Linked DNA regions of Macaca fascicularis. The protein of the gene in region 3 purifies or fractionates together with the protein of the main gene of each other region. This does not show direct contact. Links are inferred from orthologs where the notes say so. Each region holds a gene or a part of one and is shown on either strand. Other genes may lie near its edges. The genes, in order: CUL1, FBXL3 and CRY1.

The links.
Region 1: the proteins of CRY1 (region 3) and CUL1 purify together in Homo sapiens (affinity purification with mass spectrometry; 4 studies listed by BioGRID and IntAct, counting the BioPlex papers as one, with this or other methods). This does not show direct contact. The link is inferred for Macaca fascicularis from reciprocal best matches to the Homo sapiens genes CRY1 and CUL1.
Region 2: the proteins of CRY1 (region 3) and FBXL3 purify together in Homo sapiens (affinity purification with mass spectrometry; 4 studies listed by BioGRID and IntAct, counting the BioPlex papers as one, with this or other methods). This does not show direct contact. The link is inferred for Macaca fascicularis from reciprocal best matches to the Homo sapiens genes CRY1 and FBXL3.

What each region holds. Positions count from the first base shown.
Region 1 is NC_088377.1:190,410,844-190,414,493, reverse strand, and holds part of CUL1 (cullin-1), read right to left. Parts: intron 2,802-3,650; coding exon 2,634-2,801; intron 447-2,633; coding exon 396-446; intron 197-395; coding exon 106-196; intron 1-105. UniProt on the Homo sapiens protein: Core component of multiple cullin-RING-based SCF (SKP1-CUL1-F-box protein) E3 ubiquitin-protein ligase complexes, which mediate the ubiquitination of proteins involved in cell cycle progression, signal transduction and transcription.
Region 2 is NC_088391.1:68,027,022-68,030,671, forward strand, and holds part of FBXL3 (F-box/LRR-repeat protein 3), read right to left. Parts: intron 1,697-3,650; coding exon 1,525-1,696; intron 1-1,524. UniProt on the Homo sapiens protein: Substrate-recognition component of the SCF(FBXL3) E3 ubiquitin ligase complex involved in circadian rhythm function. Plays a key role in the maintenance of both the speed and the robustness of the circadian clock oscillation.
Region 3 is NC_088385.1:113,988,891-113,992,999, forward strand, and holds the start of CRY1 (cryptochrome-1), read right to left. Parts: upstream 2,942-4,109; 5' UTR 2,353-2,941; coding exon 2,195-2,352; intron 1,024-2,194; exon of another isoform or gene 832-1,023; intron 1-831.

The DNA.
Region 1 (3,650 bases), on a different chromosome or scaffold from region 3:
TGTCCTTTATAATATGAAAATATTTTAAAGTGAAATCTGTTAGAGCATTGTCATAATTGCCATTTGATGTGGAAACTTTGAATAAACTAAAGGGAAATTATTTACCGTAAGACTGTACAACTCCACTAATCAATCTTGTATTGATGGTTTCACCATTCCTTTCCTTTTCAATCAGCTTTAAAACAGCATTTGTTACCTTTAGAAAGGATGTAGAAAAATATTACACAGGTTATAGAATATGATAGATATTACTACATATCCCTTAAACATTCACAGCCATTAAACAATGTAAGATGGGATAATCCAAAGGAGTGAGCAGACAAAGGCTAAGCAACGAAACTGTGAAGGGATTTTAAAAGGAACACGCACACGCACACGCTTACACCAGTAGGTACCTGTTTATTCAGTGGCCTGAACAGACAGTCTCTCCAAGTCACCAATGCAAGCTGGAGAAAAAAAAGTACAAAATATCTATACTTTTACTATGTTTTTCCAAGATTGAAGTCGTAGGAAATAATCTAAATCTCAAATTACTTCATCAAAATTTCTAGATTACAAGTTGGTCAAAATCTGCTATCATGACGAAATCAGAAAGCCACTCTCTAGAGTCAACAACTTCAAGAGGTATCCAAGCACAGACATTTGTCAGCTCAACTTCTTTATTTATATTTTCTTTAACTGTTGTTGAAAACAGTATAGGAAAAGTTTAAAAACCGTAATTATTTTTAGGAGTCTGTGATGTGACTGTAGGGTACACATTTAGGCCAAGCAGGTTTCCAAAAGCAAATGAACCAAGATCATCCTGATTCCTATACTAACAACTTTGGAGTCTCAAGAAAGCATTTATATGTGAAAAAGAAAAAAAATCCCATTAGCTATTCCACAATACACACATATTTCAAAAAGGCATGGTGTACACATTTTTGTCAGTTAAAAAAATAAACAAAATGTTAAAGGGGAAGCACAAAAACCCCAAATCAAACAACTAAACCTAGAAAGTTTTGTTAGAACCAGACTAACTACATAGCAAAGTATCATTATGAACCAATTAACAATTTTGGTATAGAAACTGGAGTTACACAAACAATAAAAACAAGTCATGCATCCGGGATACATTATGCTTTTCTTTCTTTTCTTTTTTTTCTTTAGACAGGATCTCACTCTGTCCAGTGGTACGATCATGGCTAACTGCACCCTCCACCTCCTGGGCTCAAGCGATCCTCCTACCTCAGCCTCATGTGTGGCTGGGACTATAGGTGCCTCACCATGCCTGGATACATTTTTTTGTACGTCTCATTATGCTGCCCAGGCTGGTCTCCTGTCTCGGTCTCCCAACGTGCTAGGATTACAAGCATGAGCCACTGCAACCAGCATTATGTTTTTCTTTTAAATTTGTCAAAAGTGAAGCTACAAAGTATTGCTATTATAGCAACATTCTTGGATATGGTGATTAACTTCTTTATGTAGAATCTGACATTTTAACAAAACTAGTTTTAAAGGGCATTGCCTGTGTTGATCACGAACAGACTGTTCTGAGTCCTCCCTTAATTGCTCTAGAACACTGGTTCTCAAACTGGAGCATGCATCAGAATTGTCTGGAGAGCTTCTGAGTCCTCCCTTAATTGCTCTAGAACACTGGTCCTCAAACTGGAGCATGCATCAGAATTGTCTGGAGAGCTTGGTAAAACATTGCTGGGCCCCATCTCCAGAGTTTCTCCTTAAGTCTAGGATGAGGCCTAAGAATGTGCATTTCTAACAAGTCCCCAGGTGATGCTGACAGAGCAGGTTTGGGGACGTGATACGGTTTGGCTATGCCCCCAGCCAAATCTCACCTTGAACTATAGCTCCCATAATTCCCACATGTTGCGGGAGGCACTCAGTGGGAGAGAGCTGAATCATGGGGGTGGTTCCCCCACACTGTTCTCATGGTAGTGAATAAGTCTCACGAGATATGATGGTTTTATAAGGGTTTCTGCTTTCGCTTGGCTCTCATTCTGTCTTGCCTGCCACCATGTAAGATGTGCCTTCTGCCATGATTATGAGGCCTTCCCAGCCACGTGGAACTGTTGAGCCCATTAAACTTTTCTTTATAAATTACCCAGTCTCACGCAGTTTATCAGAAGTTATGAAAACAGACAAATATGGGACCATACTTTGAAAGCCAATGGACAAAAAAACCCCTTTTGCTGACTGAAGCAACATATATTAATGAGAGTGATTTAGTAATTAATTCAGGGTCCTCTCCCTGAAGCAGGGTTTCCCAGACTATAAAGCATGGGAGGGCTAATCCTCAGGGCTCGCCCTCAGGTATGGCACCTGATTTGCCTGGGACTGCCACGACTCAGGACTTTCAGTGAGAAAACTCAGGCAGTTCCATGCCAATTGTGATGGTAGGGTCAGGTAATTAAAGAAGAAATTTTTAAAAAGCAAATGCAGAAATGGACAAATTGTATTTTAGAACTCCAATTTACCCATTCCTCTACTTTCTTGCTAAAAAATATTTAAGGGACATTTATTGATAAAACAATGAAAATTAGTTTACTACTCTGAAAAAAGCTTAATATTTGCCTAGATTCTCTTACTAAAAGACAATTTATCATTTTAAAAAAACACATTTAAAACAAAACTCTTACTGAATAGATTTCATATATTCCTTTTCGTCCTTCGTCACATTCACGGCGAACCCAATGTCTATTGAGGTAGGCACAAATTCCATTCAGTACTTTGCTTGAAAATCGATAATCTTCCCATTGTTGAGTGTAGAATTTCAGTACACTCTCATCCATCAAATCTTCTCCATCCTAAAAACAAGTTAACTAAAGCTTTAAGATGACTAATTTGTCACATTATAAATTAAAAATAAAAGTGAGTAACATCTACTGTATTAAAATACATTGATACATGTGATTTTAGATGGCTTCTTTAAATTATTCTGTATACAAAAACATGCTAATAAACTCACAAGAATATAGTAAAAACAATTCTTTCATCTCAAATTAAACAGGAACATTTTTCATGGTATTAAATATCCACAAACACTCAAAAAAAGTACCCTGAACATTTGATATGCAGGTAATTCCTTTTTATTAAGAAATTTACCTCAAAATCATCTGTATTTTTAATATTTTGTTTAAAAAAGAAATTGGCCAGGTACAGTGGCTCACACCTGTAATCCTAGCACTTTGGGAGGCCAAGGTGGGCAGATCACTTGAGGTCAGGAGTTCAAGACCAGCCTGGCCAACATGGTGAAACTCTGTCTCTACTAAAAATACAAAAGTTAGCTGGCCGTGATGGTGCATGCCTGTAGTCCCAGCTATTCGGGAGGCTGAGGCAGGGAACTCGCTTGAACCCAGGAGACGGAGGCTGCAGTGAGCCAAGATCCTACCACTGCACTCTAGCCTGGGCAACAGAGCAAGACTCTGCCGCCCCCCCTCCCCCGCAAAAAAGAAATCAAATCAACATGTCCTACTCAGCAATTCAGACAACGAGGCTAATACTATTCAATTTTTAAATGTATCTTCTTCCTTCTTAAACCATCAAAACACTTTTTTGTGGTAATCTGTAAAAATAATGTGAGTACGATAGTATAACAATACTTCCTCTTTAACAAGCCCTCGTAAAGAAAATGTGCATTTACCAAAATTATTTTT
Region 2 (3,650 bases), on a different chromosome or scaffold from region 3:
TATCAGAACTGTTGTGTATATTTAATAAAAATGAATGAACACAGGATATACCAGAATAAAGAGAACTATGAACTCTCAGTTTTATAGAGAAATCAGAGACATAAAGACTCATACAATGTGGTAAATGTTAGCAAAAACGTTCAGAGTGTTCTGGAAATACACAGGTGGGAAATCTCAACCAGAAAGGAGAAGTTCCCTTCTTCTCCTATGTTGACAGGCGGGTCAACACAGATCACATCTAAGCTGAACTCTGAAGCCTGGGCTGGCTGCAGTTAGCAAGGTGAAGTTAAAACATTTGAGCAAGTATTCCACAGGGTAAAGTGTACTGAGCAACCACAAACAAAGGTACAAACAAAAATCTGTAGTTCCACAGGACCCAAGTAAAAGCTCCACGTGAGTGACCAGCAAGAGACAGATGGAGATCAAGATACAAAGGACCTTGTACACTATGAAGCCAGGAAGCACAGACTTTATTCTGAGAGCAGAGCTATACAGTAAATTAAAAAAACGTAATAAAAGTCATATAAGAACTGCCAAAGCCTATTCCTAACTTCTGGTTTATAATAGCTTCAGTGGTAATCTGTAAGTGGCAGAGACAGCTAAGAAAATACAACCACAGACCTAGCCATTCTCATCACCAGGAGCCTCCTGTGGGAGAAAAGAGAATGAGCAAGGAGACTTGGGAGAATGAGCAAGCAATCTCCATCTAAAATGGAATCATTTCTTGGGAGAAGGCTGACCTTTACCGATGGCAAGAAGGTTGGAAGTGTTTTGTAAAGATCAAAGATTTGACACTATCCCTTAAAGAACAGGTTTCCGAAATAACACAGCTAAAGGATCAGCAAACATGTCAATAGTGGGAGGAGTCAGGAATGAAGCAGCAGATAGCAGTATATATAATATAGTAGTAGGATTTACACTCTCTTTTCAATACAAACCACCTGGAATTTAAATAATCTCAAACTGAATAATTCAGTAATGCTCAGAAAATCCTATATAAGAGAAACTGGAAAGAGCTTTTATAATGCTCTTCTCCCATTTGATGGGTTCTTGGCTCCAAAATTCAACTTAGAGAAAAACACCATCTTGCAAAATGTAAGGCCACCACTTAGTACAACTCTTCTCCCTCTACATAGTGAGAAGAAAAGCAATTATGTGACTGCTCTGACTCAAAACTTACCCTATTAGCTCAACTACAATGAGAAAAAATTCTACTGTACTTAATGGGACACCTCAGGCTGACCTCATACTGTCCTTTCCTCTTTTTCTCCTGTCCATTTTCTAGCATGTGCTATTCATAAATTTACCAAATAAGATTGGAAAATAAGCTGAAAGCCAGTGTCTAGGCTAGTAACTTATGCTATTCTATTACTTATGCTATTCTATTACTATATTAAAAATATTTTAAAGAGATGAAGCAGTCGTATCAATCCACCTTTAAGGTTAATGATCATAGTTTTTTCTAATTTGATGAACATACCAATGCATTTTACGAAAATGTGTCTAGCAAAAAACACAACATACCTGCTGGAGAGACATGAGGACAGCTGCTCATTTTCAACAGCTTGAGTGTATCACTGTTGTTGGCCACTAGTACTTTGAGAGATGGATCATCTACTGGAGTATCATCTATCTTAAGCGAAGACAGGGATTTGGAGTTTACAAACACAACTGTCAGTGCAGAGATAAAGTGAGACTGAAAAGCAAAAAAAAAAAAAAATTATTTCAATTTTTAGGAATGAGAATTGAGGGGTTTCCTAGTACTACAGTTTATCTGAGTCACAATGACATTAATATTTTGTAAATGTTTTAGGGGTGGCACCCCTTCACTCTGTTATTGGGAGTATGGCAAAAGAGGTGACTATCTGTTATCTTTGAGAAGAGCCTATTTATGTGTAGGGGAAAAAAACATTTCAAGCCTCAGAATAAGTGTCTCTAAATTGGAGAAACCACTGGTAAGTAAAAAGAGGAATTCTGGAACCAGGGATGAGAATCTCTCTCAGATACTTCACTTTGCCGTATCTGGAAACCCTAGTGTTTTATAACACTAAACTGCATTTCTTTTCTGTTTGATAGGTATGCCCACTAAACAGTAACTATTAACACCATCATTAAAAATTAATAATCTATTTAAAATCTGAGACTCATTTGAGATATGAAAACTCATAGAAATTTTGATTCTAAAACAATCAAAATCATACTTAAAATTCCAAGTTTAAAATTCCTTCAAAATGTTATCTACAATATTTTCAAGTCTTCTATTTTAATGTATTTTGATCCACAAAAGCACCAATGAAATCATTCATCATGTATCATATATATGTATATATGTACGTACATATGTGTGTATAAACACATACACACGTATGTATCTGTTGGACAGAATATGACCTAAAGGAATCAATGTAGGCAAACAGGAATTAAAGCATTCTCAAAGTATGCAGCTCTCAGTTGGAGCTAAGATATGAGTTGAAACCATTAGGCAAAGAATCTAGGAGAGTAAAGGCAGGCTAATACATGGTCCAACATATTCCTCTCTACAAAACCAACTTCATGCTCCAGTTAGCTTTACAAATTCTCTACAGGAGTGAAAAAGGATGAGGGCAGGCTAAGAGCCAAGAAAGTATAATGAAACATTACTTTTTTTTTTTTTTTTTTGAGACAGAGTATTGTTCTTGTCACGCAGGCTGGAATGCAGTGGCACCTCCTTAGCTCATTACAACCTTGAAATCCTGAACTTAAGCAATCCTGTTTCATCCTCCCTGGTAGCTAGGACTACAGGTGTGAGCCACCACGCACAGCTAACTTTTTTTTTTTGTAGAGACGGGTCTTGCTATGCTGCCCAGGCTGATCTCAAACTCTTGGCCACAACGGAACCTCCTGCCTCGGCTTCCCAAAGTGCTCAGATTATAGCTGTGAGCCACCACACCCAACCAAAACACTGTCTTCTTGGTCATAATTCCCTAATTTACTTTTTCCCTACTGTGATTAAACAACTGGTTAACTACTTAGATTTTGATTAAGTAACTATTTACTTAAATGTTAACATCTTTCTCCTAATATTTTCATATCAAACTCAATTATATCTTGTACAAACATATTTCATTTGCAATCTAATGACTGCATCACTGACGTCTTTTTCCATTTCCCCAATTTAGCTCTAGTCAAAAACATTTCTTCTATGTTGTCTTCAGTTCTCTCAAGATTTCCAAAATATTGCAATGCCCTATTTCAATCTTCTACCAAAGCCATAAACGGAAAAAAAAAAAAAAAGAAAAAGAAAAACAGTATTAAGTATCCTAGACTCACTTAATAAGAAGCATTCTTTCCATTAGCTCCATTCATGGTTCCCAAATTAGTACTAGATATAAGCATAATGGTAAGAAAAAAAAAAGAAAACTTATGTTCAACATATCTTTTAATATGGTATTTTTAAATATACTATATGAGTCAGTAGGTACATTTGTATTTTAGCTATGGTAGGTACACTAAAAATCAATTCAGATTGTTTCATTTCCCATTTGAAGCTTGAAGGTGGCGCTATACCATGTAACCCGTATTTCTTAGAGTGAGTTTCCTTAACCATCTTAATCAGAATCACCTGGACTGCTCACAGGAAGAGGAGACTTAGAATCACCCCGAATTTGAAA
Region 3 (4,109 bases):
CCTAAAACAGTGCCTGGCATATAGTAAGCGCTTGACAAATATTTGTTCAATAAATAGATGGATGAATACATGGCTTTATATATTATCTATAATCTCATGAATTCTCCAATTTATACTCCCTGCCTGGATCTCTGTCTGCAGCTCCAGACACATCCAACTGCCTATTTGCTATCTCCATTTGAATGTGTAAAATACATCTCAAACTTAATGACTTAATGGAAGAGAACTCCAATCACCCTCCCAATGGCTTCTCCAGCTGGCTTCACTTTCTTAGCAAATTGAAGCCCCATCCTTCCAGTTTCTCAAGCCAAAAATTTTCTCAAACAGTAAGCTGCCACTACATAAAAAGCACTGAATTTTGGTGCTTTTTATATAGCACCAAACTATAACTCCTTTTTCTTTCTTTTTTTTTTTTTTCTTGAGACAGAGTACTCTGTCACTCAGGCTGGAGTGCAGTGGCACGATTTCAGCTCACTGCAACCTCCGTCTCCTAGGTTCATGTGATTCTCATGCCTCAGCCTCCTGAGCGGCTGAGATTACAGGCATGCACCACTGTGCTCAGCTAATTTTTATATTTTCAGTATTAACAGAGACAGGGTTTTGCCATGATGGCCAGGCTGGTCTTGAACTCCTGGCCTCAGCCTCCCAAAGTGCTGGGATTACAGGGATGAGCCACCGCACCCAGCCTAACTCCTTTTCTTTCTCTCACACTACATATCCAATCTGCCAACAAATACTGTGTATTCTGCGTTCATAATATAGCCAGCATCTGTTTTTTTTCCTCACCCCATCCACAATTATCACTATGATTCAAACCTTCGCATCTCTCACCTGGATGAATGCCAACAGCTTCTTAATTGGACTTCCTGCTTCTTGTCCACCTCCACTCCCCAATTCAGAACCACAAGCAGAGAAATTCTCAGATTTGTTCTCAGAACAAGCAGAAAAATTCTTTTTCAAACTTATGTCAGATCACATTACTTCTCTGCTCATAATCCTGCAGTTATTCCCACTTCACTGAGTAAAAACCCAAATCTTGAAAACTGCTTATAAGGCTCTCTTCAATCTGGCCCTAAGTCAACTCTGACCTCATCGTCTACTATTTTTCCCTCACTTATTCTGCTCCAGTCATACTGGATTCTTCTGCTGTTCTTTCCAAAGGTCAAGCATATCTCTGCCTTTTCCCTTACTCCTCCCTTTGCCTGGAATGGTCTTCCCCTAGATATCTGCATCCCACCACCTCCTTCAGGTATGCTCAACTGTCACCTTCTCTGTGACTTTTCCCCTGATTATCATATTTAAAACTGCTCATCCCTACCCTTGTATTCTTTATCCCTTTACTCTGCTCTATTTTTCTCCACAACACTTACCACCTAAAATACTACATATTTTACTTTCTGCTTGAAGACATGACTTTTTGTCTTTCACTCACTGCTATATCCCTAGCATTTAAATCAGTGCCTGGCACATGGTAAGTGATCAAGAGTCTCTCTGTTGAGCTAATGCTTTCATTTCCACCAGGGGGCCCAACGATCACGTAGCCCGGTGTTTCAGGAAGATCATAAAGCATCTCTAAGATTTCTTTGTGCTCTGATCCCTAGAAGGACTACAACTTGCCTAGAAAGAAAAACTGTGCTTTGTCTCGGCAACCACAAGGAGGAGTTGAGAAAAAGAGCCGAGCAGAGAAACCAGATAATGCTGTTTCCCTTGCTTTTCCCTCAGTAACCTCAAGGTGGAAGAAAACTGGATCTGGAGCCAGCTGTACTGAATGAATGATTTTTCTCCATACTATGAGTTACCTAGACACAAACGTAAACAGGAAACATCACAATCCTTTCGAATGCCACAAACAGGCCAAGGGAATCCATATACACAGGCCACTAAGGACAGGAAGGGTGTTTCTTTAACTCCAGCACTAAGAATTCTCCACAAATTCAGGGGAAGAGCTCCCGTTAGCACAGAAAGACACATAACTAACTCACTGATGAAGGCCGAGTGTTTCAGGTCGTCAGTACTCTCTGGCCAGAGAACTATTAAGTCAATTCTATTTAATACTTAGGGCACCTACAATTCGTTAGCGGTATAAGGAAGGCAGTCCCACGTCTAAATTCTCAGATTTGGCGGATCGCATGGAATTCATTAACATCAGATTCATTAAACACCCAAATCCATTTCCCACGGGCTTGTGACTCACCGCCACCTGTTGATGCCCACGTTGGAGGAGCCGGCGAACCAGGGGTCCAGGATGTAGACGCAGCGGATGGTGTCGGCGCCCTGAATGCATTCCTTCAGGGCGGGGTTGTCGTGGAGCCGGAGCCCCTTTCGGAACCAGTGCACTGCGTTCACCCCCATGCTGGGGGCGCGCGGCGGGTCCTCCACGGAGAAATTCAAGGAAGGAGGCTCCGGCTCATAGCCGACACCTTCGCTTCCAAGAGAATTGCCTCACCCGAGGAGTAAGGAAAGGGCGGTAGAGGGGGGACAGGAAAAAATGACTCCAAGGAGGGGACTGGAGAAGGCGGGGGCGCTGGAAGCGCAGTGAGAAGATGAATGGAGGTTGCCCAGTCGGCGGAGTCCGGGTTTGACGCCCTTTAGGAGCCCGCGCCCGCCGCAACCTCCTGGAGGCGACGCATAACTTCGAGGGCCTCGGACCTCCGGAGCCTGAGCAAATTCCACGAGCTCGAGCCGCCACGACGGCCCGAGCTGGCACGGACGGCCCCAGGAGGTTCGTCACGGAAACCTCGCCCCACCAAGGCGGCTCCTAAAGACAAAACGGCCCGCCCGAGGTGAGTCACCGAGGAGAACCGAAGGGGAATGAGCCCCTGTCGGCGACGCTGTCTCTAGGCCCAGGAGAAAGGACCGGGGACGGAGGCAAGAGGCGGTGGTCGAGGCCGCTGGACGGTTGCCGGCCGGTGACCGGTCCCGAGGCTGCCCGGGTGACTCTGCCGCCGCCGCCGCGTCAGCGGCCTCGGCCCCGCCCCCGGCTCCTCATTGGAGGGCGCGCTCCCCACGTGACCACCGGCACCTCACGTTTCTGAAGTGTGTTTACTACACTGACTCGGAGGGGGAATCTGCTCGCGCTTCGGTCGCTTCTGGAGGGGCGGCAGCCGCTTGATCCCAGAACCGTTGACCCTCGCCCACACGCTGAGCTCACTGCCTTTGCCCCTTTCCTGTGCCGACTGGCGGGCCGTCCCTTGGAGGCAAACCGTGTTGACCACAGGCCCCTTGTGAGGGAAGGCTTAGCCCCGCCCCCAGGGGCCGTGAGCGGGCACTATTGGCCGAGGCTCGGTGAGACCCGGATGAGCACGGGGATGCGGGGAGCTCGCGGGCGCGCGCGCTGGTCAGAGAGGCGCGCGTGCGCTCTCCCTGCGCTCCAGAGGGTAAGGGGGCGGGGCCCGCGGGCCGAAGCGCGCTAGGTGATTCCTCCCGTGGGATTTGGGGAAGGCCTGGAAATTGTCCGGTGTCTTTCAGGAGCCAAAGGTGGAGTCGGGCGGAGAGTGAGGGGAGGATGGAGTGGAAGGAGGAGAGTGGGAGGCTTCACGTAGATTTCAAGTCCAAACCATGTGCTTGCCAGAGAACCCTACTTTGGAGATTATGGAGCTGTGCCCCTCCACTCTCCTGGCCCTTGGGTGCCTCCTCCCCCTTGTACATGCTCTGGGGCAAAGGGTAATTGGCAGGACGGATGCCAGGCATTCCTGGACTTCCTGGAATTTTTTAATACTAGCGATATATATCATCAACGTTTCACCCCTAATCTACATTTAATGTAGTTTACCGGTCTCTTTGAGACTGGACGTTTGTCTACTTTTCCAGCGACAGTGAACTGCAGGCCATGCCATCCCTTAGATATATGATGCCCTTAAATTCATTCAATGATTACTTTTTGAGTGAACTAAGCACTGTTCAAAGCACTAGAGATACAGGAGATACTTAATAAAATAGACACAGACTCCAGTCCTCTTGGGGTTTACAATTTGTCTCTTAACCTTTGCTGTTTTTTCCTCTATAAAATATTCTTCCTTGGAATCCAGTACTCAAGATAACCGCCTTTGAGCTACCTGGGATATTTCTGCACACCTCTTTAGACTCCGATGAAATTATAACTAACTTCT